5 linked regions of the Macaca fascicularis genome follow. The protein of the gene in region 1 purifies or fractionates together with the protein of each later gene. This does not show direct contact. Links are inferred from orthologs where the notes say so. Each region holds a gene or a part of one and is shown on either strand. Other genes may lie near its edges. The genes, in order: MAGEA10, FOXJ2, QSER1, KAT2A and FAM216A.

Evidence for each region.
Region 2: the proteins of MAGEA10 (region 1) and FOXJ2 purify together in Homo sapiens (affinity purification with mass spectrometry; 3 studies listed by BioGRID and IntAct, counting the BioPlex papers as one, with this or other methods). This does not show direct contact. The link is inferred for Macaca fascicularis from reciprocal best matches to the Homo sapiens genes MAGEA10 and FOXJ2.
Region 3: the proteins of MAGEA10 (region 1) and QSER1 purify together in Homo sapiens (affinity purification with mass spectrometry; 3 studies listed by BioGRID and IntAct, counting the BioPlex papers as one, with this or other methods). This does not show direct contact. The link is inferred for Macaca fascicularis from reciprocal best matches to the Homo sapiens genes MAGEA10 and QSER1.
Region 4: the proteins of MAGEA10 (region 1) and KAT2A purify together in Homo sapiens (affinity purification with mass spectrometry; 3 studies listed by BioGRID and IntAct, counting the BioPlex papers as one, with this or other methods). This does not show direct contact. The link is inferred for Macaca fascicularis from reciprocal best matches to the Homo sapiens genes MAGEA10 and KAT2A.
Region 5: the proteins of MAGEA10 (region 1) and FAM216A purify together in Homo sapiens (affinity purification with mass spectrometry; 3 studies listed by BioGRID and IntAct, counting the BioPlex papers as one, with this or other methods). This does not show direct contact. The link is inferred for Macaca fascicularis from reciprocal best matches to the Homo sapiens genes MAGEA10 and FAM216A.

The regions. Positions count from the first base shown.
Region 1 is NC_088395.1:158,207,141-158,213,276, reverse strand, and holds MAGEA10 (melanoma-associated antigen 10), read left to right. Parts: upstream 1-2,134; 5' UTR 2,135-2,193; coding exon 2,194-3,306; 3' UTR 3,307-4,601; downstream 4,602-6,136. UniProt on the Homo sapiens protein: Not known, though may play a role in embryonal development and tumor transformation or aspects of tumor progression.
Region 2 is NC_088385.1:12,674,660-12,681,086, forward strand, and holds the start of FOXJ2 (forkhead box protein J2), read right to left. Parts: upstream 4,126-6,427; 5' UTR 2,993-4,125; intron 2,760-2,992; 5' UTR 2,660-2,759; intron 1-2,659.
Region 3 is NC_088388.1:32,649,684-32,655,322, forward strand, and holds part of QSER1 (glutamine and serine-rich protein 1), read right to left. Parts: intron 5,388-5,639; coding exon 1,698-5,387; intron 1-1,697. UniProt on the Homo sapiens protein: Plays an essential role in the protection and maintenance of transcriptional and developmental programs.
Region 4 is NC_088390.1:63,155,475-63,160,944, forward strand, and holds the end of KAT2A (histone acetyltransferase KAT2A), read right to left. Parts: coding exon 5,438-5,470; intron 3,712-5,437; coding exon 3,568-3,711; intron 3,280-3,567; coding exon 3,165-3,279; intron 3,070-3,164; coding exon 3,033-3,069; intron 2,953-3,032; coding exon 2,889-2,952; intron 2,755-2,888; coding exon 2,670-2,754; intron 2,513-2,669; coding exon 2,319-2,512; 3' UTR 1,797-2,318; downstream 1-1,796. Other genes in the region: ATP-dependent RNA helicase DHX58, read right to left, coding at 1-153, 383-550. UniProt on the Homo sapiens protein: Protein lysine acyltransferase that can act as a acetyltransferase, glutaryltransferase, succinyltransferase or malonyltransferase, depending on the context.
Region 5 is NC_088385.1:117,362,893-117,367,637, forward strand, and holds the end of FAM216A (protein FAM216A), read left to right. Parts: intron 1-261; coding exon 262-344; intron 345-2,675; coding exon 2,676-2,794; 3' UTR 2,795-3,042; downstream 3,043-4,745.

The sequences.
Region 1 (6,136 bases):
TCAAGCACGGTGGCCCATGTGATGTGTCTTTGCTGTGCCTTTGGGGTGTCAATGAGGAGAGGGCTACAGTCTGAGGAATGAAGCCTCAGGTCATCAGAGGGAGGAGTCCCAGAGCCCTGAGGGAGGACTCAGCAGATCCCCGCATCTCAGAACTAGGAAATCTGTCCCTCCTATCAGCTCTGGAACCTCAGGCAGGACTCTGAGGAAGGGAAGTGGCCCCCACTTTCTCACTGGGGATCCCAGGGACATGGTAGCCTTGGCGTACAAGACTCATACACGGTTCAGCAGGAGGGAAAGGGCTGGGCCCTGTCGGGAGTAAATCTGAATTTATTTGGGAGGACACCCAAATAAAGAAAGTCTCCATCCCGTCCCCCTCCCCTCTCCACTCCCCCCCGCCAAATCTCCTCCTTCTGTCAGCTTTGGGAATCCCATGCAGGTGTCAACGTGTGGTGCCCCTCCTCCATTTCTGCCTCCCGGGTCTCAGGGTGATGAGGACCTTGGTCTGAGGGTTGCTGAGAAGTTATCACAAGGTTCCACACTTGGTCAACAGAAGGAGGAGTTCCAGAATCTGCAGGACCCAAGGTGTGCCCCTTAGTGAGGACTGGAGGTACCTGCAGCCCAGAAAGAAGGGATGCCACAGAGTCTGGCTGTCCCCTATTCTTAGCTCTGAGGGGACCTGATCAGGATTGACACTAAGTGGCAAGCTCAATTTTGCCACAGGCAGGAAGTTGAGGAACCCTCAGGGAAATGGAGTCTTGGTGTAAAGGGGAGATATCCGCCCTGGACACCCCACAGGGGTGACAGGATGTGGCTCCTTCTTATTTTTGTTTTGGAATCTCAGGGAGGTGAGAACCTTGCTCTCAGAGGGTGACTGAAGTCAACACAGGGAGCCCCTCTTTTCTACAGACACAGTGAGTCGCAGGATCTGACAAGAGTCCAGGTAAGGAACCTGAGGGAAATTTGAGGATATCCCCAGCCCATAACACAGATAGGGGCCCCACAGAAATCTGCCATGACCCTACTGTCACTCTGGAGAACCTAGTCAGGGCAGTCTGCTGAGGCACCCTGTCTTATACAAGGATCACTGGTCTCTGGGAGGGGGAGGTGTTGGTCTAAGGGAGCTGCACTCGGGTCAGCAGAGGGAGGGTCCCAGACCCTGCCAGGAGTCAAGGTGAGTACTGAGGGGACACCATTCTCCAAACGCACAGGACTCAGCCCCACCCTGCCCCTCCGTCAGCCACGGGAATTCACAGGGAACTGTGGGTAGATGGACTCCCCTCACTTCCTCTTTCCATGTCTCCTGGAGATAGGGCCTTGGTTTAAGGAAGTGGCCTCAGGTCCACAAAGGGAGGGTCCCAGGTCCTATCAGGCATCAAGATGAAGACCAAGCAGGCTCCTAACCCCAGGACACATGGACCCAGCTGAATATGGCCACCTTTTGCTGTCTTTTCTGGGAGGACCTCCGCAGTTGTGACCAGATGTGGGTCCCCTCATGTCTTCTATTTTGTATTAGGATGTAAACTTTTGATCTGAGAGTTTCTTAGACCAGCAAAGGGGCAGGGTCCAGGCTTCTCCAGGAGAAAGGTGAGAGCCCCTGTATGAGCACAGAGGGGACTACCCACCCCAGAGTAGTGCGGAACTCACAGAGTCCAGCCCACCCTCCTGACAACACTGGGAGGCTGGGGCTGTGCTTGCAGCCTGAACTCTGAGGGTCCCTCAGTTCCTCTTCCAGGAGCTCCAGAGACTGTGAGGTGAGGCCTTGGTCTAAGGCGGTGTTTTCAGGTCACAGAGCAGAGAGGGCCCAGACAGTGCCAGGAGTCAAGGTGAGGTGCATGCCCTGAATGTGTACCAAGGGCCCCACCTGCTCCAGAACAAAGTGGACCCCACTGCATCAACTCCAGCTACCCTACTGTCTGTCCTGGAGCCTTGGCCTCTGCTGGCTGCATCCTGAGGGAGCCATCTCTCACTTCCTTCCTCAGGTTATCAGGGGACAGGGAGACCAAGAGGTCAAGAGCTGTGGGACACCACAGAGCAGCACTGAAAGAGAAGACCTGTAAGTTGGCCTTTGTTAGAACCTCCAGAGTGTGGTTCTCAGCTGTGGCCACTTACACCCTCTCTCTCTCCCCAGGCCTGTGGGTCCCCATCGCTCAACTCCTGCCCACTCTCCCACCTGCTACCCTGATCAGAGTCATCATGCCTCGAGCTCCAAAGCGTCAGCGCTGCATGCCTGAAGAAGACCTTCAATCCCAAAGTGAGACACAGGGCCTCGAGGGTGCACAGGCTCCCCCAGCTGTGGAGGAGGATGCTTCATCATCCACTTCCACCAGCTCCTCTTTTCCATCCTCTTTTCCCTCCTCCTCCTCTTCCTCCTCCTCCTCCTCCTGCTATCCTCTAATACCAAGCACCCCAGAAGAGGTTTCTGCTGATGAAGGGACACCAAATCCTCCCCAGAGTGCTCAGATAGCCTGCTCCTCTCCCTCAGTCATTGCCTCCCTTCCATTAGACCAATCTGATGAGGGCTTCGGCAGCCAAAAGGAGGAGAGTCCAAGCACCCTACAGGCCCTGCCAGACAATGAGTCTTTACCCAGAAGTGAGATAGATGAAAAGGTGACTGATTTGGTGGAGTTCCTGCTCTCCAAGTATCAAACGAAGGAGCCGATCACAAAGGCAGAAATACTGGAGAGTGTCATAAAAAATTATGAAGAACACTTCCCCGTGGTGTTCAGTGAAGCCTCCGAGTGCATGCTGCTGGTCTTTGGCATTGATGTAAAAGAACTGGACCCCACTGGCCACTCCTTTGTCCTTGTCACCTCCCTGGGCCTCACCTATGATGGGATGCTGAGTGATGTCCAGAGCATGCCCAAGACTGGCATTCTCATACTTATCCTAAGCATAATCTTCATAGAGGGCTACTGCACCCCTGAGGAGGTCATCTGGGAAGCACTGAATATGATGGGACTGTATGATGGGATGGAGCACTTCATTTATGGGGAGCCCAGGAAGCTGCTCACCCAAGATTGGGTGCAGGAAAACTACCTGGAATACCGGCAGGTGCCTGGCAGTGATCCTGCACGGTATGAGTTCCTGTGGGGTCCAAGGGCCCATGCTGAAATTAGGAAGATGAGTCTCCTGAAATTTTTGGCCAAGGTAAATGGGAGTGATCCCAGATCCTTCCCACTGTGGTATGAGGAGGCTTTGAAAGATGAGGAAGAGAGAGCCCAAGCTAGAATTGCCACCACAGATGATACTACTGCCATGGCCAGTGCAAGTTCTAGTACTACAGGCAGCTTCTCCTACCCTGAATAAAGTAAGACAGATTCTTCACTGTGTTTTAAAAGGCACGTCAAATACCACATGATCTCACTCATATGTGGAATAAAAAAAAAAAAGTTGATATCGTGGAAGTAGAGAGTAGAACAGTAGTTACCAGAGATTGGGGAGAGGAAGGAGAAGAGGGGCTTGGAAGCAGTTAGCCAACATGGAAAATTACATTTAAACAGGAGGAATAAATTCTAGTGTTCTGTTGCGCAGTAGGATGACTATAGTTAACATTAAGATATTGTATATTACAAAATAGCTAAAAGGAAGGCTTTTCAATATTGTCACCACAAAGAAGTGATAAACGCATGAGGTGATGGATACACTACCTGATTTGATCATTATACTACATATACATGAATCAGAACATCAAATTTTACCTCATAAATATCTACAATTGCATGTCAGTTTTTTGTTTTTGTTTTTTTTAATTTACGAAAACAAATGACAAGAGAAATCAATGAAGTATGTAGTGGAGGGCCAGGCTGAGGCTGAGGAAAATACAGTGCATAACATCTTTGTCTTACTGTTCTCTTTGGATAACTTGAGAACTTCTTTTCTTTTCTTCTTGGTATTTCTTCTTCTTCCGCTTCCTCTTCCTCCTTCTCTTCTCTCTTCCCTTCTCTTCTCTTCTCTTCTCTTCTCTTCTCTTCTCTTCTCTTCTCTCTTCTCTCTTCTCTCTTCTCTCTCCTTCTCCTTCTTCTTTTTTTTCTTTTTTTTTTTTTTTAACAGAGTCTCACTCTATTGCCCCGGCAGGAGTGCCCGGGCAGTCTAAGCTCACTGCAACTTCCGCCTCCTGGGTCCTGGGTTCAAGCGATTCTCCTGCCTCAGTCTCCTGAGTAGCTGGGATTACAGGTGCATGCCACCATACCTGGCTACTTTTTGTATTTTTTAGTAGAGATGAGGTTTCACCATGTTGGCCAGGCTGGTCTCGAACTCCTGACCTCAGGTAATTCGTCCGCCTCAGCCTCCCAAAATGCTGGGATAACAGGTGTAAGCCACTGCACCCAGCCTCTTCTTGGTATTTTAAAATGTTGTTACTTTTACTAGAGAGTTTATGAGCTTCAGAATCTAAGGTCACACATTTATTTCTGTTTATCCAGTTTAAGAAAGAGTTTTGCTATTCTTTAAACAAATTGGGAACCCTTCGATCTTATTTGTAATCTGTAATAAAATAACATGGAACTAGAATAGTAATTTTCTTGGACATATAAAAAATAGTAAAATAGAGAAAATAATGTTAAGTGTTAGTATTTTTATTTGTTTATTATTTTTATTTTATCGTCCTGCAAAGTTAAAAGTTATATCCCTGGATCTTTGTTAAGTCGAAATTAAACTGTAATAAATGAAACCTTTGCTCACTGGTTCATTTTTTTCCCCAAACATCCACTGAGCATCTGGTCTTTGGAAGGCCCTGGGTCTGTAGTGGAAATGTTAAATCAGAACCACCTTTACCCATAGGGTGGTAGAGTCTAGGGGCTACAGTCAAGTAATAAGGTGGTGAGATATCCTCTAAGACCTAGAGGAAAAGTAAGACAGGGATGAGAATATTGGGCTGTAGGTGACAGTGGTCACGTACATCTCCTGAGCCAGGACTTTTGGGGCTTTGAGAAACTGCAGTTCCTTCTGGTGAAGATGAATCCAAAGAAGCTGGGTGGTGCCAGGGTCAGAGCCTCACATAGTTGAGAGAGAAAATCCTGGGATGTAAAACTGCTCTGAGCAGTTCCTTTTGGGTGGTGGATGAACAGAGAAGAGTCCACCTGGGGCAGGAATGGAAGGTGTTCTGCACTCTTGTCTCAGTGCAGTTGAACATAGCACAATAACTAGGTGATAGATGCTCATCTTATGCAAGGGTCTCCTGAGAGATAAGGATCTCATAATAAATAAGCCTATGAATTGATGCCTAGAAGTTAGCTGACTCCATTAGAGAAACATTTTAATTGGGTCATTTTTTATGTAATTTGTACAACACTAAGCAAGGGCTAGAATTTGGTGACGAAATGAATGAAAATCATGATTTGGATGGAAAAGAACCTTGGAGAGAGGGAAGGAGTTGATACTTGAATCATATTCCATGAGCTTTGAGCAGCATCCAGCAGGGAGAAACTCCTGCACATGAAATTTTGAAAATACATCCTCTTAAGAGGGAAAATTTACAGAGTTTTATTTATGAAGCAACATTTGTGACTGATTTGGGATTCCATGTCCCATTGAGCTGCATATTCTGAGATGTACTGGATAATAATGACAACAAAAAATGCTGAGTAGACTGTGGTGGGATTTGAGGTCAAATAATATTAGAAATAACAGCCATCTGCCATTCATTAAACTTCTAAATATGCCAGGCCCTAAGCCAGGTGCTTCACTTATATTGCTCATACTCCAGTAGTCCTATTGGACAGGGCTTATCACACCTGCTTCACAGATAAAGAACCCAAGGCTCACAGGGCTTGGGCATTTCCCAGAATCACATGGCTAGTAAGTAACAGGGCTGAAACCAGACTGCTGGTCTGAATTTCTGTAGATCCCATGCTGTTCCCACTCCTCCCAGCTTGAGGCCGACCTCCTGAATAATACTTCATTTCTCTTCTCAGCACTGTACTATATCTTTCAGGTGACAAAAATAGGAACTCTGAGTCCAAAGTATCAGTAGTAGGCCTAGAGAAGGTGACAATGAGAATCAAACACCATTTCAGGGCGGCCTGTGGACCTTATTAATCCAGGGACCTCCTGTGTCAATCCCCAGGGTTCCTTGAGAGCTGACTCTACCCAGGAGCTGGCACTTCTGTTCAGAGCCAGCACTTCCCCACATTACAGC
Region 2 (6,427 bases), on another chromosome or scaffold:
GAACCTGAGTCAGGCCACATTCTTCTCTGTGAGCTGGAAGACTGAAAGGAAATACCCATAGAAGCTGGGAAAGGCAGCCAAAGGGCAGGCTCCATCACATCCACAGGACGTCTAATGAAGACTACAGAACTGGGAGAAAGGCAGAGAAAAAACAGACAGACATTCTGGGAGTGAAAGACTGATCCTGGATGAAACATATAAGATCCACAATAATAGGCTCAGTTTTCTTCCCATTTTATCTGAAAGGCCACTAATTGTTCTAATGCCAATGTCAGGTATTCACATGTGATAACTTCCTGCCCCGTACAGAATGCCAGAGCAAAGAGGGCAGTGGCTAGGTGTAGCACATGAGGAGTTAGGCTGCCTGAGTTTCTTTCTTTTTTTTTTTTTTTTTTTCTGAGAGAGAAGTCTCGCTCTTGTCCCCCAGGTTGAGTGCAATGGCTTTATCTCAGCTCACTGCAACCTCAGCCTCCCGGGTTCAAACGATTCTCCTGCCTCTGCCTCCCAAGTAGCTGGGATTAAGGCGCCTGCCACCACGCCCGGCTAATTTTTGTATTTTTCGTAGAGACGGGGTTTCACCATGTTGGCCAGGCTGGTCTCAAACTCCTGACCTCAGATGATCTGCCCGCCTCGGCCTCCCAAAGTGCTGGGATTACAGGCGTGAGCCACCGCGCCTGGTCAAGCTGCCTGAGTTTCAATCCCCAGCTCCACTAGTTTGATTGTTGTAAGGATTACCTTGAGTTCATATTTTCAGAGCACTCTGTAAGTGCTAAATAAATGTAGCTATTGTTTTTGAATGGGGAAAAATGAGAATATTAGAAATTAAAAATTAGCAAACTGACAGACTCTAGATGGGAGTGGAAGCAGCAAGCCTGCAGTGGTTTGCATCACAAAGCCTGCACTGAGTCTGCAATGCTTTTCAGGATGTCGGAATCTCAAACTTTTCCTTTGGAGATAACCACCCAGTACTAGATAATGCGAGGATCAGGAAGACTCCAGGGATGAAGGAATGAGGGACTATCATCTCTTATCTTCCAGGGAGAACTAAGTGTAGTCCTAAGACATGGTCTGGGAAAGTACTCTCTAAACCACAGTTAATCCCACTCAGTAGCCACCTACTTCTAACTGATTCCAGAGAGGCAAGGAGGGTTAGGGAACTCAGTCCAAACAGGACCAGTTAAACTGTGTGGCGGTGGCGGACTTGGAGGTGTTGTGATATAGTTCACCCTGAGCCATTCAGGCAGGTGGTGAAGTACTTTATAAGAAACAGGCTGCTGTTAACCAGAGTGGCCTCTTTTGTAAAAGGTAGGGGAGGGAGCTCCGGAGTTAGGAGTCAAGGATCCTCATCCTTTTGCAAGCAGCAGTATCAGCAATGAAGCTCTCTTATTAGTCCTAGAAGAAATGATCCCAACCTGAGACTGGGCTGCCCTGCTGCTTAAAGGACTGTCCTGTAGACTGTCATGAGGGCTCCCACTGGCTGGGGGAGGCCAAGCCTTTCCCCTCAGGTGGGCATCCTTACCACCTCTCCATGTCCGTGTACAGGGGCACCTGCTTCTAGAGGCCCACCAGAAACACACAATTCTAGGTAACTGGAGTATAGTCTGAAAAGCACAGTAAGCACCTGTCTCCACACACTTACCCACTGGAAACAGAGAGAGCCACACTCACCTGAATTAAGAAGTATATGCATGTTGTCCTACAGCACAGCCACGCAAACCTGTGCCCTATCTCATATACCACCAGTAGCTTCCAGGACAAGTGAATGTGCTCAGGAACTTAGGTAGAACTCACCCATGCCCCAGAAAGAGGAGGAAATATGAAAGGCCAAGTCAGATGAAGCCTCCTTCACAACTTGTCCTTGCTGTGAGACAGAAGATAAGGTATCTGCTCATGGCGAGGCAGGAAAGCAGACACCCAGCTAGTGATCTCTCCTAAAAACAGCCCAGGCTTCAGGGGAGGATTTCCTGGTACCCTTTTCCTGCCTTTTCTGAAGATTCTGGACTTTGATAATTCCCTAGCTTATGAAGGAAAACTTTAACACAAGGTTCCGGGAACTCAGAACTGAACAAGAAACAGGAAGGGAGAGGATGAGACTATTAGGTACTTTTCTGGAAGGAAACTTTATATACTCCTCAAAAGTGAAATTTCTCCAGTGGTCAACTTGTTTAGATGGAAATCTGGAGAGAAGTGGAGCAGCAGCCCTCCTCCCTTCGTATCCAGGATCTAATTTTTCCTGAAGAATTGTGAGCAAAAAACAGGAGCTGAGAAGGAGACTGGGGCAGTGGTACAGGGCCAGCATCAAGGAAGCACTTCAACCCAGGAGCTGGCATTCCCCTGCACACTTTCTTCTCGCCTCAGAACATGTGGGATTCCCATTTTCCCTTTGGATTTTATGGGCAGAGGCATACATCCAGCTAGCAATGGAAATGTCAGGAGAGGAGGCCTCTTGGTGTCTGAGATAGGATGAGCAGGAACAGACTGCTTTTCTTGTCAAGGGAGCAGTAATTGCAGTAAGCTGGAGGGAACACCTCTGGTGAACACTAAGCTGACCTCGGCGTGCCCTGGGCAAGGCCAGGACACCAGATGCCACCGTGATTTTCATGAGAACCCGCTCTCCAGGTGCAAAGGCCCAACGTGAAGGGCGGTCTGGGAGTCTTACCACTGGTTGGGTTGTGTACACAGCATGCACGTTCTCAAAACGCAGCCGTTTTCCGATATCCCTTTTCCTCAGCATGAAAACATCCACTTCCCTAAGGGACCTAAAATGAATCCCATCCCTTTAGTCCCCAAACACTAAGAAACCCATTTCTCCGAGCTTCTGCCGCAAGATGTGAGTTCAAATCCAGGAGGCCCTTGGATCACATTTCCCACTGGATTTTCTGAGTCATCACTCTTGTCTTCCCCGGTAGTGAAACCCACGATCCACCAGCTCAACCCCGTACACCCACTAGTGCCAGACGATGACAGAGAGAAGATGAAAGAAAGCACTAACCTGTCTCCAAGGTTCCCCTGGCAAAGGGAGGGAAGCACTTGGTACTGGAGTTTGGGGCTGGAGGGATTCCCCTCTTCAGAGACAGGTGACGGCGCTCATCCTCAGTGGCTCTTCCTGTACTTGGCTGAGCCTCCCAAGTTGGTGAGGGGAACTTGGTCCCCTGAGGATGAGGAGCCAAGGGAGGAGGAGGGGGAGGGGGAGGAGAAGGAGGTCCTACTTGGGGAAGGTGGCACACCCCCCACACCCTGCTTGTTACCCTGGGGAGGAGGGGAGGAGCCTCTCCCAACCAGGAGTTGTCTCCTCCCCCTTGGGGGAGTTCCCCTCCCCCCCAAACTGGATCTTTCTGAGTTGGAGGGCTCTTTCTGTCTGCTGGAGATCTGAGCGGAGGGGCTCTACCCCGTTCCACTGTCTAGGCACGAGGAAGTTGAGGGGGAGGCCTCCCCTCTCCAGAAGGCTGAAAGCCGATTCCTCTTCTTTCCCTGGAGTGGCTTCTGAACGTAAGGACTCCTGTCCCCTGTGAATATTGGTGGGCCGAGGGTGCTACTCCATAGGCAGAGCCCTCTCTCTCTTTGCCTCCAAAGTCCTGAACTGTTGAGATTGTGTGTTTGGAGGGGCGGGGGCGCGCTAGGGTGGTCTCACTCTGCTTCTCTGCGGAAAGCTCCCCTCTTTCCACTTCTGGGGGTCTCCTCCCCGGCCAGTACAGGGGTCTTCCTCGCCTCTAGGCAGAAGAGCGGCGTCCCCCCACGGGTCTCTTCTTTCCCTCACCCGAGTGGTAAGGGTCTTTTCTCTCCAACAGGGGGAGAGGTTGCTCGCGTCCCCGCTCCCGCCTCCGCTCCCGGGGTGCCCCAGAGGGTGGGGCTTTCGTACTCCCGGCTCTCCCTGAGCTGGCCTGGGCAGCACGGTCCGGGAGGCCGCGGCTGGAGACTCCGGTCCCTGCTACTGTGGCGGCAGCACCTCCTCTAGGGCCGTCCTGTCCGGTCCGCTCCCTTCGGTGCTTGGGGCTCCCAGCGCTGCCACCGCTCGGGCTCCGGCCAGTCCGGGCTCCCGGGGAGCCAGAAGGCGGACGGACAGTGTCAGGGCTCGGCGCGGGCTCGGGCTCGGCTCGGCTCCGCTGCAGGCCCCGGCTCCTCCCCGGCCTCCGCGCCGCGCTCCGAGCCCCTCCCCCTCCCCCGCCCGCCGGCCGCCGCCGCCACCGCCTCCCGGCGCGGGTTAAGGAGGAGCCGGGCGGCGCCGAGCCGCGAGCCGCGAGCCGCGCCGTCCGGTGTGCACTCCGCCTGGAAAGCCACGGCTGCGCTCATGCCGGCGAGGGGTCTCGCAGCCCTAGCCCCGCTGCGGCCGCGTGGCTCCGGGAGCTCGCTGTCTACCCGGGATGACAACTCACTGCTCCCCGTCGGGAGATTCCCTCGTGCGCACCGTACACCATCAATTCCAGCCGACACCCCGACCCCGGCGTTTCATTGTTAAACTCCGAATACAGATGAACAGCCCCAGCTTTCTCAGGACTGTCTTTGATGGGCTTCTCTTTCCCTCGAGATAATTTATAAAGGATCATGAGCATTGAGTTGAAGATTGGGGTGAAGTTTATATGTTACCCTTATATCATCCTGGAATTTAGTAAATGCTCCTTGAATGAGTGGATACATGATAAATGAGCGTGTAACGGTGAAATAAACATCAGAAGATCTGGGTCCTGTACCTTGTTCCAGCTTCGTAAACTTGTGCATGGCCCTTGTTCTCTGCAATCTTGCTCAGCGAAGAAGGGAACTTGATATTCGGCCTGCTTACCCTTTACAGCTGTCACATCCTGGAGTCACATTATTCTGCTGCAAATTCTTATATATTTCATACTCTGGCTTTTTTTTTTTTTTTATTTGAGACGGAGTTTAACTCTTATTGCCCAGGCTGGAGTGCAATGGCGCGATCCCGCGTGCAATGGCGCTATCTCGGCCCACTGCATCCTACGCCTCCTGGGTTCAAGTGATTCTCCTGCCTCAGCCTCTGGAGTAGCTGAGATTACAGGCGCGCGCCACCACGCCCAGCTAATTTTTGTATTTTTAGTAGAGATGGGGTTTCTCCATGTTGGCCTGGCTGGTCTCGAACTCCTGACCTCGTGATCCGTTCGCCTCGGGCTCCCAAAGTGCTGGGATTACGGGCGTGAGTCACTGCGCCTGGCCCATACCCTGGCTTTTTAAACTTTTGTCAAACTACCCTACTTTCTTTCCTTTCTTTTTTTTTTTTTTTTTTTTTTTTTTTTAAATACAGACGGGGTCTCAGTATACTGCCCAGGCTGGTCTTTAATTCCTGGGTTTAAACTATTCTACCGTTTTAGGCCTCCAAAGTGCTGGGATTACAGGCAGGAAACACGGCCCCGGCCTGCTCTCTACTTTATATCACATAAAATAATAGGAGACCCGGCGCGGTGGCTCACGCCTGTAATTCCAACACTTTGGGAGGCCCAGGCCAGGGGATCACTTGAAGTCAAGAACTGGAGACCAGCCTGGCCAACGTGGTGAAACCCCTGTCTCTACTAAAAATACAAAAATTAGCCGAAGGCCGGGCGCGGCGGCTCATGACTGTAATCCCAGCACTTTGGGAGGCCAAGGCGGGCGGATTACAAGGTCAGGAGTTCTAGACCAGCCTGGTCAATATGGTGAAACCCTCGTCTCTACCAAAAATACAAAAATTAGCCAAGCGTGGTGGCGGACGCCTGTAGTCCCGGCTGAGGCAGGAGAATCGCTTGAACCCGGGAAGCGGAGGTTGCAGTGAGCCGAGACCGCGATACTGCACTCCAGCCTGGGAGACGGAGCCAGATTCCGTCTCAAAAAAAAAAAAAAAAAGGAATTAGCCGGGCATGGTGGCGCGTGCCTGCAATCCCAGCCACTCGGGAGGCCGAGGCAGGAGAATCACTTGAAACCGGGAAGCGGAGGTTGCAGTGAGCTGAGATCTTGCCACTGCACTCCAGCCTGGGAGACAGAGTGAGACACCGTCTCAAAAAAAAAAAAAAAGATAATAAGAATACAAAAATATTACTTGCAAAATATTTGAATTGCCCGCCAAAGACCGCATACTTAAGTTATATGTATATATTAATAATGATATTTATAATATGCCAGGCATTGCACTGATCATTCTGCGTGCGTTATCACATTGATGATTCCAGCAATTTCCTAAAACACTATTATTATACTTATTTTACAGATGAGAAAATTGTGACTTCCAGATACTATGTGTGAGTTCACTTAATTAGTAAGTAGCAAAGTCAGTACTTAAATCCAAATGACTCCAATGCCCAGCTCTTAACCTCTATACCATTGTTCGGAGCCATCAGAATTTAAAGTCATCCTCAAAATTAAAGGCAGTAAACCAAACCAAGCCTTTTCCTCCTCCTCACACTTCCTATATTCAGGTTTAAAGATTTATTTTTTCCCCTCTTTG
Region 3 (5,639 bases), on another chromosome or scaffold:
AGCACTTTGGGAGGCCAAGGCGGGAGGACTGCTTGAGGCCAGGAGTTCAAGACCAGCCTGGGCAACATAGCAAGATCCCATCTTTACAAGAGATTTTTTAAAAAATTAGCCAGGCATGGTGGCATGTGCCTGTAGTCCCAGTTGCTCAGGAGGCTGAGGAAGGAAGATTGCCTGGGCCCAGGAATTTGAGGCTTCAGTGAGCCAATATCACACCACTGTACTCCAGCCTGGGTGACAGAGCAAGACTCTGTCTCTTAAAATAATAAAAAAAGAAAAAATGTTTGTAATGAGTAGTCAGTTACAGTAGTCCACATGACAAATGATAGCTTTTTTCAGATGAGGCAACAGGGATGGTGATAAGAGAACTTCGAAGACATAATAGTAAGGATTGGGTTGACAGTGATGATTTTAACTAAAAATGAGATAACATATGTCTGGAAGAAACTAGTTTTAGACTCATGTTTTAGAACCGAGATTACAAAAGGTTTATTCTGGGAATGTAAGAGGGAATAGAATAGTGATTGCAAAGCACTCTGAATTGGGGGAGACGTTATAAAACCGTACTAGGATTAGACATGGTAGTAATGTCTTTGAATCTAAGACTGACTTTCTATCATGTTAATTTCCCTGTGTAATGAAATGAGAATTCTTTAGAAATGTATTATCAGATATTTATGCTAACAGATTATTTGGATACCAGTTGTCACGTAACACTTTAGAAGTTAAAGGTAGTCAAGTCCAGAGAGAAGCTGGGAAGTATGTTACAAAACAAAGTTTAAGTCTTCAAGCACCACCCTATTTATCCTAAAGAGCTGAGAAAGAATGTGGGCTCTAGAACCAGACAAACCTGGGTTCAGATTCCAGCTCTGTCACTTACTAGGGGTATGGGCCCACATAATTCATTTATTCTCAGTTATATCATCTGTATATTGGAGATAACAATGTGTATCTCACAACATTGCTACTAGTTCCTGGCACAGAGGTGGCAGTTGTATTATTGTTACAAATAAATTTTTCCTTGGCATGTTTCTTACAATAGAAAATTCCATACTTACTGCCAATTGTTTATATAAAGTCAATGCTTCTTAAAATATTTCCTCTAAAGCTCCCTTAGCCACAGAGTCAAGTGAAACACATACCCAAAGATTTGGGTATATAATCTGGAGCCAGCACAAAATTTTTAAATTTTATCTTAATTATTATACGCATGCTGCATATAACCATATTTAATGGTTCAGATTTTAACTCTGTAACATCCCTGTTGTCTCATCTGTCTCATTTGTCACTTGGACTACTGCAACATATTTAAACATAACCATATTTAATACTAAAATGTTAATCTTCAGATAAAATTGGCAAACTAAGAAAATGTATCAGGTTTATACTACAGCAATACCCACGATACAGTGCCTCAATTACCTCACAATGTCTCAGATTAGAGAAATCTGGATGGCACACTGTACAGATTATGCTGCCTTTGGCAAAAAGCCAAGAAAAATCAGAACTACTTAACCTAAAACCCAGACCTTTCCTATAGGCAAGAAAATTTTTTTTAAAAAGTCCTTAAGATACCTACCTATACATTTTGTCCTGAAAATATACTTGCAGACCTGCTTTAAGTGAAAAAAGCTTAAATGTGAGCTATAGCCCGAAAAAGAAGAAAGTAATAATTATGAATCTAAATTTTAAAACTTTACCTGTTTTCTTCTTTTTATCAGAAGTAGCATCCAAAGTAGTTAAGGGAGTAGAGATGCTTTTATAAGCATCTTGACTACATCCAGGATCATCTTCATCAGAAGAAAATGAAGATAAATGTTCCAAGTTTTTAAGTTCATTATCAACTTTATCTGATGGACTGTTACCGCCAGTTTCAGACACTGAAGGTGTGGGTGTTGTAGATGAAGGCTTGGGAAGTGGTGGGGGACAAAATGTACGAACCATCTGGGTCCCTGGCCGTCTAGTCCTGTTAGGCATTCGTACAGCAAGAGTGGAAAACTGCTGCTTGGGCCCAGATTTCAGGAAATCTAAGAAAGACGCAATAAATCCTGTTTTGACTTCTGGTTGTTTCTCCTCCACCTCTTTGATCTTCTGTCTCATTTTTTCTTGATGCTGATAACCATCATGGCAGCTTTCTGAGGAAGGAGGAGTATATGGTAAGTATATATCTGTTCCCCTTGGATTCTGGCGTTTGCCTTGGGCAGGTCTTTTCAGCTGTTTCTGATTACTATTGTCTTCCTCTTTAACTTGCCCTTTTCCTTTAGTTCTTTTCTTTTGAAGGTTAAAATGCATTAAATCTTGGTTTTCTTCTTCAATCTTGACACTGACTGCATCCCCAGATTGGGCCATGGCCAACAGTGCAAGTGCACTCCTAGCTGGGTTCATTGACACACCACTGTCCTCACCCCCTAAGGTAAATTCACTCTCTGATGTAGCACTCTCTCCACTTATACTTCTACTACTAGAAACAAACTCTTGGTTTCTGTTATTATTTAATGTACTATCAACAGGAATTTCACTGTCTTCTTCAGATTCAAGATTGGTAGCAGACTGTTTCTTGAATGGGCCAGAACTTTGCTCCTGGACTTCATGACTTGGTCCAACCGCTGCTGAAGTTACTTTAGTTGGTATATTTTGACCAGGTGTTTCAATGTGCTGTTGATCAAGAGTCATTTTTGTCTGAAGGGCAGGTACTGGTGAAAGGTTCACAGTAACCTGATTTCCATTTAAGGAAGTATCATTTATATTCTGTGGCTTTCCTACTGTAGCTGTCATAGAGTTAAAATCTGAAGTCACATGCCTGACATCTAACGACTGCTGAAAATGAGATTTAGAATCACCATCTTCAACAGCCTGCATGGTTTCATTTGAAGTTGACTTGGAAAATTCAGAAGGTGTAACTCCACAAGCTGCTGCTGTAGCTGCTAAGATATCATCTACATTTGATAAAATATTTCTTTCATCACTAAGAAGCACTGCCTCTGGGAAACACATCGATCCAAGAGAAACAAACTGATTCTTTGAGTCATGTTGATTTGTTTCACTAAAATGGCCCTTTGTTGTTAGATGTTGTTGTAACGGTTTTGAAGACTCAGAGAGGTCCATTTTCATAACTTCAGAATTTTGAGGATGGAGTTGCTGCTGAGAATGATCACCATTGCTTTGAATAACATGACCTTCCATCTGAAGGAAAGGATGTACTATTTGTTGAGGGCTTTGAACACGCTGTGCTTGTAAAGATGCCTTTACTTGACCTAAACCTGCCTGCAGTATTGACTGCTGAAGAATCTGTAAATCACAGGCAGAATCTAAAAGGACCTGTGTATTAGGAAGAGATGCCTGATGGCCATGCCCTAAAGCATGATTTGGAATTTGAATCTGAGATGAAGCATTAATTATTTGATTGTGCTGTTCCTGGACCTTGGATTCATGCACCTTAAGTACAAGAGGATGCTGCTGCTTTAAGTCTTTAGTATTCAACCTTATTTGTGGAGTCTGTATTAAATTAGTTGCATTCTTAAGATCAAGGGTAGCTGCATTACTGACTTGGCCAATTTGTTGGTTAAGCTGTGTCACTGAACTAACAACGCTTTCTTCTTTCTTTGACGCTTGTAGAGCAACCCCAATAACTTGATCTTCAAGACGGGAATTACTTCTGATTACACTCTGAGAATATCTGTCATCTGCCTTTGACACCTTATAAGTTGATTCTTGAGCATTAATTTCCCCATCAGATAGCCTTTGGGTTGACGACTCAAGAGATGCTTGTGGCTGCAATACCTGTAACTCTTGCATTGGAAAACCATCTTCTTGCTTTGAAGATGTATACACATCTGAGTCAAGCTTTCTTTCAGCATAAGACTTTGGGTCAGGGGAGGTTATGTTATTTTGTAATGTCTGACAATGAGTAGAGGATGCAAAAGATGATGACTGGACACCAGGCAAAAACTTCTGGGACTGGGGAGATGATGACTCTTGAGTCTGAACATTTTGAGAAGAATGCATAGAAATATAATTCTGGGTCGGGCTAGAGTCTGGCAAATTCTGAGCCCGAGAGGCAGAAGAATAAGAAAGAGAAGGGGCTGTTAATGTTAGGGACTCCCCTGAAGCATAGCTTTCTGAAGGACTAACAACTGACAAAACTTGTGATTGAGATGAATAGCTAACCTGTGTCTGGCTAACTGGTGATAAACCCTGAGAATGACCAGATGAGTAACTTTGAGACTGACTGACTGAAGACAGATCTCTTGTTTGAGCAGGGTAATTCTCATTTGTAACTGAAGACAATACCTCTTGCTGATTAGATGAATAACTAAGCGTCTGATTTTCAGGAGTTATAGTCTGAGATGACCCAGAAAAAGTCAATGTTTTATACAAGGGTGGCAATTTTTCAACCTTGCTGGACCTATAAACCTGTGAATGAACAATAGATGGCACATTATGTGGCTGTACTAAACCATAATTTTGGGACTGACTGACTGATAAAAGGCTTGGTAGCTGCGCAGTAGAATAAATTTGTGCTTGGCCCGATATTACAGAACTCTGGTTATGTAAAGGTTTGGAATAGCTTAGTGTTTGCACAGGAGGAATTATACTTTGAGGTTTAGGGGTCTTGGTTGATGTTAGTGGTTGTTCTGTAGAACAGCTTTTTACTTTTGTAGTAGAAGGAGGATACCCTGATGATGGAATTGCAGATGAGTAAGACTGAGCAAGTTCCACTGAGACCTGGGAGGTCTTCTGTTGTAATCCTCCATTGCTCACCTGAGTGGAATCTCCAATTGGGCTACAGGATAAAGACTGCCTGGTTGTTTCCTGAAAATTAACTACACTTGAATTTGATAGATAACTATGTAAGGAGTGCTGTGAACCAGTCAGTTGTGCCTGAATTGACTGGGTACCTGAAGGCCGCTGATGGTGTTTGATAACACTACATTCTCGAAGAAGAGCTCTTTCAATGGAAGCAGTAGAACTAGTAAAGAGAGTTGAACTGTAGGCTTGAGGAGTCTGCTGGGCTCCCCCAAGTGCTGAAGGCAACAAACTAAATTGAGGTTGTAAAAGATGGGGTGCAGACTCTTGAGCTGAGCGGTATGTTGAAGACTGAGGTGGTATGCTGTTACTTAATACAGAACTGCCCAGGCGCTCAAATGCCAAAGCAGTTGGAACAGTTCCCTGGGAAGTCTTGATTTGTAGCAAAGGGTCATGATGACTTAAAATTCCATTTGATGTAGTGTTAAAAGTTGAATCCTGAAGCACCAAAGGTGAAGTGGTAGCAAAGTTTCTATTGCTGAAGGTGGTGGGATGTTGATAAGCAGAGAGAGATGGTGGAAGTGTTCCAGTGCTTGGCAAAGGTCCAGTAGCAAACAGCTCAGTTGCTGCTGAAGAATGCATGCCTATAAAGAAAAGGCACAAAGATTTTTATGTAATTATGATAACAATTACTTTAATATATGTTTTCATAGTAGTGACTTACATAACCCATTAAAATGTCTTAAGACTGAAAAACTTGACCAGTAAGTTCTACATGTAAATTTTGAAATTACATTTCAAAATAGCTAGCTTCCCACTCCCATCCTCTTTTTTTTTTTTTCTTAAGAGACAAGGTCTTCACGGTGAAACCCCATCTCTACTAAAATATACAAAAA
Region 4 (5,470 bases), on another chromosome or scaffold:
CAGAAGCTCTGCTGTGCAGATGAGCAGGTCATGGCACCGGGCCAGGTGGCCAAAGCCAGCACGTGGCCCCATGTCCCCACTCAGTGTTGTCACGGTCCAGCGTCCATCCAGCATGCGCCTGAACTCTTCACCGTGCTGGGTCACCAGGTGCACCTGGAGATGGAGAATGAGCTGGGAAGAGAAAGCTGAATCTGGGGCCAGGGAAGTGCGGGGGAGGTAAGGTGACCCGCAGGGCATGGCTGGGTACTGAGCCGGGGTGGAAAGACAGGTGAGCTTAGGGATGGCCACAGCAGCTTTGGAGTTCTGGCGGGGACTGAGAGATGCCTGAAGAGCTGAGACCCTGCTTGGTGGTGGGGGAGTGGGGCAGGGACAGACCACTCACCCTGTTGACCAATACAACCACCTTGGCGCCATCCACAGTCTCTAGGTGCCGCTTGGCCACATAAGCAGCCGCCCGGGTCTTCCCAGCCCCCGTGGGCAGCCAGATGATGATATTTTTGCCCTCCAGGGCAGGCATGATCACCTCCCACTGGTAGGGCCGCAGCTCCATTCTGGGAATAGCAGGGGACTCAGACCCACCGGCCCCTCCACCCCTCCCAACTCCTGGCCAGACCAGTTCGTGCAGAGACCTCCCTTTGCCCAGGACTCCACCCCACTTGAAGGAGGTGGGGCAGGACTCCCTCAGAACCCATCAGGACTCTGCTCTGCCCAAAAGCGGGAGGCGGGAGTAACACAGGCTACACCTGCCCCCTGCCCAGCCCAGGTCTCACCTGCTCTAGTCGGTAGGTCTGCCCAGGGCAGTCCCACTTAATTCAGCCTAGTGCTACTGTGCTCAGCTCAGAGACCCGAAATGGAAACTGAAACTGAGGGAAGGAGCCAGCTGAGCCGACTTAGGAATCTCCCATCCCCGCCCCGGGAAAAAGAACCAATAAAAAAGAACCGTTTGTGCTAACAGTCATCGCCAACTGCCGCGAGTACAAACTCCGGGACGAGTACTGCCGCTGCGCCAGCGCCGTGGCAGGCATGATCACCTCCCATTGGTAGGGCCACAGCTCCATTCTGGGAATGGCCGGGGACTCAGACCCACTGGCCCCTCCATTCATCCCAACTCCTGGCCAGACTGGTCGGTACAGAGACCTCCCTTTGCCCAGGACTCCACCACACTTGAGGGAGGTGGGGGAGGACACCCTCAAAACCCTTCAGGAGACTGCTCTGGCCAAAAGGTGGGGGTGGGAGTAACACAGGCTACACCTGCCCCCTGCCCAGCCCAGGTCTCACCTGCACCACCAGGTAGGCCTGCCCAGGGCGGCCCTGTTTAGCTCAGCCTGGTGCCGCTGTGCTCAGCGCAGACAGCAGAAATCGGAAATGGAAACTGAAACTGAGGGGAGGAGCCAGCTGAGCCGATTTAGGAATCTCCCATCCCTGCCCGAGAAAAAGCCCCATGTGTGCTAACAGGGAAGCACTCTTTCACTGCTACGGGATCCTCTATGCTTTGGCCCTTTTGCGGTCAGTTGTAACCACGTCCACCCAAGTTAAGGTTAAGTCAGGAGGTTCTGACCCCTGCTGCCCTGGCATCTGGATCAGGAGCAGCCTGGAGGAGGGAAGAGGTGGGGGGCTGCAGCCAGGTAGGTCTGCCCGACTAGAGCAGGTGAGACCTGGGCTGCGCAGGGGGCAAGTGTAGCACAGGACCAGGTCTGAGGCTTGCTGGGGAGAGCAGCCTCCAGTTTGCAAGAGGTCCCTGGGGGGCCAAGGTGAGCCTGCTAAGGCTGGGACTATACCAAAGAAACAATCACACAGAGAAATAAAAAGCTTTATTGTTCCCTCTAAGGGATTAATGCCAGGGAATGAATGGTCCCCATATCCCCACCCCGGGGGAGACTGACAGTACAGTACCGGACAAGGCATGGCCCCCTCCAGTTTGGACTGAACTTCCAATCCCTGAAGCCATCACTCAAGCTAAAATGAGCAGTCCTGGTCCTCAGGGAAATAGCCACCTGGGAATCCAAGCCTCCAAAGCTGTTAGGGACCAGGTCTGGGGGCCACCACGGCTGGGCAAGGTTCATCCCGTCCCACCAGCCACTCTAGAGGGACTGGGCCCCAACCCAGGAAACCTCTCACACACAGTGAAGGCTGGGACAGAGCTGCAGGCTTGGGGGTGCCTGAAGGTCCAGAAAGGGATGCAGGATCAGGGGCCGGAGGGCCCTTGGCTAGAGTGTCTCAAGCTGAGTTGGGTCCGTGGGGCCAGGGCATCCCCTAAGGATCAGATCAGAATCCGAGGTGGAGACATTCAAGGTCAGGGCTGTGGCCCAAAGCTGGGCCTACTTGTCAATGAGCCCTCCTTCCTTGAGCTTGAAGTAGAAGAACTTCTCCAGGGCGCTGGCGCAGCGGCAGTACTCGCTGTCCGGGGGGTTGTACTCACGGCAGTTGGCGATGACCCGCTGCAGGTCGGCCACAAAGAGCTTCCGGGTCACATAGTAGCGGCTTCGCAGCCGCTCAGTCATGGTCTTCAGGTCTGGGGCAGCAGGAGGCGGAGCACAGCTTTAAGAGGCTGAGGACCACGGCAGGGCTGTCCACCGGGGTGGGCCCCATGGGGCTGCAGGGCGCAGTGAGGGCAGGAGCAGGTATGGGGATGGAAGAGGGGGGAAGGAGATGGAATGGAGGGTCCTCACCAATGGGGAAGCGGATGACCTCGTAGTAGTCAGGGGCCTCCGACTTCTTCACAGGCTCCATGAAGGGCCAGGCACTGGGGTGCGACTGGAGAGAAGAGCCGAGCTGGGGACAGCCCTGCTGCACCCACGCCAGCCCGAGAACGCCACCCACCTCACACTGCATCAAGAGGCCACAGCCATTGGTGCAGGGGCCCCGGAAAGGCAACCTGGTCTCCCCACCTTGATTTGGGCCAGCAGGTTTTTGAGGGTTGTGTAGAGCTGGTCGGGGTCCTTCAGCTCCTTCCTGGGGCGAGACACACCAAGTCTGAGGCTCCGAGTCCCTCTGCCCCGCCCCCAACCTGGCTCCTTTGACAAAACACTCACCCCTTCTCCTTCCCCAATGGCTTCCAGCCCGTCTCTCCTGCAAAGTGGGAAGTGGGAGAATGTCTCTAAGAATGCCGATCCGCATCCCAAGCAGCGTGCCCCCACTACCCCGCAACCGAGACCTCTGCTTACGAATGCCAGGGACACTCTCCACAGGGATCTGCCTCACTCCCTCCTTGAAGCAGCTGAGCCCCGGGTAGACCTTGCGGATCTGGGCCTGTTTGCGCTCAATCAGCTTCTTGATGATCTGAGGGAAGGAAGGGTCTAAGGGGCCAGCTCCAGCCCCAGCAACAACCCCTCCCAGGGCCACAGTCAGAGCCACCAGCTGCACCCACCCAGATGCAATGCCACCTAATCCAGCACCTCCCTTCATACCTTCCCCAAGGGAGCAGAGCAAGAACCAAGATCCTGGCCTGTCCCCTCCTCACTCACACACATACACGCATGTACACGTAGTACAGGTCTACACACGTGCGCTCGCCCTCCGCATGCACATTCATGAAAACTCCCACAGATGCGCACGTGCGCACACCACCTCTTTCTGCTTCTTGATGATGTGGGACAGCTCTGTGTAGGGGATGCGGGGATTCAGCTCACACTCCATCAGTGTCGCTCCCTCGTAGTCCTTGATGTAGCCCAGGTATCGGCTTTTGGGCACCTTGATGTCCTTGGAGAAACCCTGGGGGGTGGATGGTCATGACCCAGTCCATCCATATTTCCCAACTTCTGTAGTCCCTCCCCTGGGAGCACCAGAGGGGTGGCACGTGCCATGTGACACCTCCTGCTCCTGAACCTCCTCCTGGGGCACTGAGGGTTTGAACTGTCCCTGGAAAGGTCCCAGGTCAGCTGCCCACTCCTGACTCATCCCGAAGAGCCCCCCAGTTCCTTCAGGCTGCTCTACTGGCCCCCCAGTTCCTCCAGGCTGCTCTACTGGCCCCCCAGTTCCTCCAGCCTGCTCTACTGGCTCCCCAGTTCCTCTGGCCTTCTCTACTGGCCCCCCAGTTCCTCCAGCTTGCTCTACTGGCCCCCCAGTTCCTCCAGCTTGCTCTACTGGTCCCCCCAGTTCCTCCAGGCTGCTCTACTGGCCCCCCAGTTCCTCCAGGCCACTCTACTGGCCCCCCAGTTCCTCCAGCCTGCTCTACTGGCCCCCAGTTCCTCCGGCCTTCTCTACTGGCCCCCCAGTTCCTCCAGCCTGCTCTACTGGCCCCCCAGTTCCTCCAGGCTGCTCTACTGGCCCCCCAGTTCCTCCGGCCTGCTCTGACTCCCCAGTTCCTCTGGCCTTCTCTACTGGCCCCCCAGTTCCTCCAGCCTGCTCTACTGGCCCCCCAATTCCTCCAGCCTGCTCTACTGGCCCCCCAGTTCCTCCAGCCTGCTCTACTGGCCCCCAGTTCCTCCGGCCTTCTCTACTGGCCCCCCCAGTTCCTCCAGGCTGCTCTACTGGCCCCCCAGTTCCTCCAGGCTGCTCTACTGGCCCCCCAGTTCCTCCAGGCTGCTCTACTGGCCCCCCAGTTCCTCCGGCCTGCTCTACTGGCCCCCCAGTTCCTCCGGCCTGCTCTACTGGCCCCCCAGTTCCTCCGGCCTGCTCTACTGGCTCCCCAGTTCCTCCGGCCTTCTCTACTGGCCCCCCAGTTCCTCCAGCCTGCTCTACTGGCCCCCCAGTTCCTCCAGGCTGCTCTACTGGCCCCCCAGTTCCTCCAGCCTGCTCTGACTCCCCAGTTCCTCTGGCCTTCTCTACTGGCCCCCCAGTTCCTCCAGCCTGCTCTACTGGCCCCCCCAGTTCTTCCAGCCTGCTCTGGCTCCCCAGTTCCTCTGGCCTTCTCTACTGGCCCCCCAGTTCTTCCAGCCTGCTCTACTGGCCCCCCAGTTCCTCCAGCCTGCTCTACTGGCCCCCCCAGTTCCTCCAGGCTGCTCTACTGGTCCCCCAGTTCCTCCAGGCTGCTCTACCGGCCCCCCAGTTCCTCCGGCCTGCTCTACCGGCCCCCCAGTTCCTCCGGCCTGCTCTACCGGCCCCCCAGTTCCTCCGGCCTGCTCTACTGGCCCCCCAGTTCCTCCAGCCTGCTCTACTGGCCCCCCAGTTCCTCCAGCCTGCTCTACTGGCCCCCAGTTCCTCCGGCCTTCTCTACTGGTCCCCCAGTTCCTCCAGGCTGCTCTACTGGCCCCCCAATTCCTCCAGCCTGCTCTACTGGCCCCCCAGTTCCTCCAGCCTGCTCTACTGGCCCCATAGGCCCCCATTCTCCCCTGGGGCAGTGGCAGCAGAGGAAAGAAGATAGGCATGGAGACTTTCCTGGCAGGTGTCAGGTGAAGTAGGGGACATAAAGGGACTCCTACTCCATCAACAGAGGGGCTGGACAGAATGACCCCAGGCTTCAGGCAAAGGACCAGTGTGGGATAAGGCTACGGGTCACCTGCTTTTTGAAGTAGCCGATGGCGTACTCGTC
Region 5 (4,745 bases), on another chromosome or scaffold:
AAAGGAGAAGCATATGGTTGGTTTTGCACAGGGGAATACTATATAACAGGGAGAGAAAGAAGATTAAGAAGCATGAGTATTGAAATTGCACTGCAGCAGCTTTACATGTCAGGGTTAAGAAATTACAGGATAATTTGGGTGCTGAAAGGGTTTGTTTTGGTGATGTTGGCAGTTAATAAAATGAATTTGTGTGGTCTTCCACATGCCCTAGGCAGCTGTTCACTTTGCTGGCTTCAACTAAGATACTTCCCTTTCTTATAGGATAAAAACTGGATATGCATCTAAAACAAGATGTAAGTCACTGAAGATTTTTAGAAGACCAAGGAAACTGTTCATGCAAACAGGTAAATGTGGAAATTTAACAATATGCATTTTTTAAGATCTTATGGGCCGGGCGCAGTGGCTCAAGCCTGTAATCCCAGCACTTTGGGAGGCCGAGACGGGCGGATCACGAGGTCAGGAGATTGAGACCATCCTGGCTAACACGGTGAAACCCCGTCTCTACTAAAAAATACAAAAAAAAAAACTAGCCGGACGAGGTGGCGGGTGCCTGTAGTCCCAGCTACTCGGGAGGCTGAGGCAGGAGAATGGCATAAACCCGGGAGGCGGAGCTTGCAGTGAGCTGAGATCCGGCCACTGCACTCCAGCCTGGACCACAAAGCGAGACTCCGTCTCAAAAAAAAAAAAAAAAAAAGATCTTATGCTTAAAAATACTATACCAAATACAATTTCATTTCTATTATGAAGATATTAACAAATTTAGAATATGATTTGCTTTTATTGTCACAAATAAAAAACCAAACATAAAATATAGTTTACACTTGCAATTAAAAGAACATACTGGGCTGGGCGCCACGGCTCACGCCTGTAATCCCAGCACTTCGGGAGGCCGAGGCAGGCAGATCACCTGAGGTTAGGAGTTCGAGACCCGCCTGGCCTGGCGAAATTCCCATCTCTACTAAAAATACAAAACTTAGCTGGACGTGATGGCAGGCGCCTGTAATCCCAGCTACTCAGGAGACTGAGGCAGGAGAATCGCTTGAACCTGGGAGGCAGAGGTGGGAGTAAGCCGAGATGGTGCCATTGCACTCCAGCCTTGGTGACACAGTGAGACACCATCTCAAAAAAAAAAAGAAAAAAAGAACATACTGCTCAAAGGAGTAAGATTCAAGGTATTTCTAATGCTAAAGATATTTACAATGTCAAGGTCAGAGACTTAGTAGAGAATGAATTTGTCAGAACCCAGAACCACAAACATGACTTTCTCAAGCAATAGCACTTCTTTTATGAGTTAGTGCTATTTTTTGATGAACAGCATATTTTGTATAGCATCTATTAGTTTACAAAGGGCTATATCTCTTATAGTAGGCCCTTCTTATCCATGGGGAATATGTTCCAAGACCCCCAGTGGATGGCTAAAATCTTGGATACTACTGAACCCTATATATACTTTGTTATTTCCTGTAAATACATATCTCTGATAAAGTTTTAATAGGCATATAGATTAACAACAATAAATAGAACAATTTTATACCAATATACTGTAATAAAAGTTATGTGAATGTGGTCTCTCTCAAAATATCTTATACTGTACCTTGGAAAGCAAAACTGTGGATAAGGAGGGACTTCTGTATACCATTTTGTTTGATATTCAACAAAACAGTGGAGGCAAGCCAAGCAGGTGATATTATCAAAATTTTACAGCTGCAACTCAAACAAATCCAGACTTTGGAAGGATCAGCATAAAAGATCCTTCTACCACAAGAACAAAATACTGCAAAATGAAAAAGGGAAGACAGACTGAATGATCAGAAGTGTTCCTAAGAACTAATAATGTTAAACCATGTTAAGTAGTTTCCTAGTTATCAGCATAGTGAAGTAGGGAGGTGGGTAAGAAGTAGGGAAGTTGGCCAGGCACAGTGGCTCACGCCTGTAATCTCAGCACTTGGGAGTCCAAGGCCGGCAGATCACCTGAGGTCAGGAGTTCGAGACCAACCTGACCAACATGGAGAAACCCCATCTCTACTAAAAACACAAAATTAGCCGGGCGTGGTAGCACATGCCTGTAATCCCAGCTACTCAGGAGGCTGAGGCAGGAGAATGGCATGAACCCGGGAGGCGGAGCTTACAGTGAGCTGAGATTGCGCCACTGCACTCCAGTCTCCAAAAAAAACCCCAAAAAACAACAAAACAGAAGTAGGGAAGTTAGGCCTTCTGAATTGATATCCTATCACTGTATGAGTGTTAGCCAGCTCTGCTGTAAATATCGTACCATGCCTATCCAAGAAATGAGGGAAAGGGCAGGTTCCAAAAGGAACAGTTAGTGGAAACTGTAGGGGGAAAGTCCCTGTGGTCCCCAGCGCAAGAGAAAATGCGGAGATTCTGAAGATGTAACTGACCACTTTAATTTCCCCCAACCAAAAGATTTTGAAAATCAATGCTAATATAGGACTTAGTAACAAGAGAATTTGCTGTACAGTAACTTGGTTAGAATACAGTACTGTGCATCTTAAAGAGTAAGAAACTTGGGGGAAGGGTGAGGTGACTAAAAGCCTTGAAAATTTCAGTCAATTTGTCTTTACTACAGGCTTATTAATAAGCCACGTCATTTTGAAAGTTGTACTTAGAGCTTTATTTCCAAAACAGAAAATTGTACATTCTTATTTTTCCTTCAGTTTCTTCAAATGATTCTGAATCATACATGAGTGAAGAAAAAAAGGAAGAAGATTTACTAAATAAGTTTATGCAATCAATGTCAATTGAAGAACAGGGAGAACATCTGATGTTAACTTGACAGTCTTGTCTTGTGTATTGAATTCGTACCAAAGGTGAGGGTAAGGGGTTGTGGGTTGTGTCCTGTATGTTTAGGATGGTATTGTTATTCATTAAATCATTAAGTAATTTTGGTTTGTTCAGAAACTTAAAACAATGTAATTGGTCTGATGTAGTTCCATGTACCAATGATATTTATGTAAGAAAATTTACATGTAACATATACTTGTACTTCTAGCTAGATACAATTAAAATTTTTCTTGCATTCAATATTGAATTACTTTTCTTTAAATCTGACAAATGCATCATATTTCTCTGTTCACAGTCCTAAAACAGCAATATTAGAATATCCTACAAGGGCCAGGTGTGGTGGCTCATGCCTGTAATCCCAGCACTCTGGGAGGCTGAGGCGGGTGGATCATGAGGTCAGAAGTTTGAGACCAGTCTGGCCAACATGGTGAAACCCCGTCTCTACTGAAAATACAAAAATTAGCTGGGCATGGTGGTGCGTGTCTATAGTCCCAGCTACTTGGGAGGTTGAGGCAGAAGAATTAGAATTGCTTGAACCCAGAGGCGGAGGCTGCAGTGAACTGAGATCACACCACTGCACTCCAGCCTGGCAACAGAGTGAGACTCCGTCTCAAAAAAAAAAAGAAAAAATAGAATATCCTACCAGTATTTTCTTGATTGGGCTAAGGAAAGCTCTGAAATATCCAGATACAGAACAGCATTTGACAGAGATAATGCTCTGACTTGCAAAGTAGGTGCTCAATAAATATTTGCTATTTGAATACAACTTTAAAATGTAAATACACATTTTCCCTATCTTATGAAATTGCCACATAAATAACTTGGACTCTCAGACTAGATTAAGTTGGGAGTAGTTACACTAACTTCTTTACATTATATATTACTCTAGTGTGCTTCCTTGCTAAACTTGTATATATATATATATATTTTTTTTTTTTTTTGAGACGGAGTTACGCTGTTGTTGACCAGGCTGGAGTGCAATGGTGTGATCTCGGCTCACTGCAGCCTCCACCTCCAGGATTCAAGTGATTCTTTTTTTTTTTTTTTTTTTTTTTTTTTTTGAGACGGAGTGTCGCTCTGTCGCCCAGGCTGGAGTGCAGTGGCGCGATCTCGGCTCACTGCAAGCTCCGCCTCCCGGGTTCACGCCATTCTCCTGCCTCAGCCTCCTGAGTAGCTGGGACTACAGGCGCCCGCCACCTCGCCCGGCTAGTTTTTTGTACTTTTTAGTAGAGACGGGGTTTCACCGGGTTAGCCAGGATGGTCTTGATCTTCTAACCTCGTGATCCACCCGTCTCGGCCTCCCAAAGTGCTGGGATTACAGGCTTGAGCCACCGCGCCCGGCCAGGATTCAAGTGATTCTACTGCCTCAGCCTCCCGAGTAGCTGGGATTACAGGCATGTACCACCATGCCTGGCTAATTCTGTATTTTTTGTATAGACAGGATTTCACCATGTTGGCCAGGCTGGTCTCGAGCTCCTGACCTCAGGTGATCCACCTGCCTCAGCCTCCCAAAGTGCTGGGATTAGGGTGTGAGCCACTGTGCCCGGCCCCTAAACTTGTATTGTTAAAACTTTTATTAAACCTTGAAAAATGGAAATAAGAACAGTTTGAAGAATCACTGTTAATTTAATGTCAATATGGTATATTATTTAGCAAATAAAATCTGAGTCCAACATTATGACACAATATAAGAGAAGAGCTCTGAAAGGTCATCTCGTCCACTTCACTTTAATATTTATATGCGTAGTTTCACTTGGTTCCTCATTTTTATGTTTTTTAAAATTAAATACAGGTTATCAAGAAAGTATAAATGAAAGGTAATTGTTTATTACTAGAGAAGAAAAAAATGTATACAAGATAGTCTAGATTCTTTCTCCACATGCACTACTTTTGGAATAAAGTTCCAAATATCAACTTTGAAGATATTTACAAGGATAAATTTT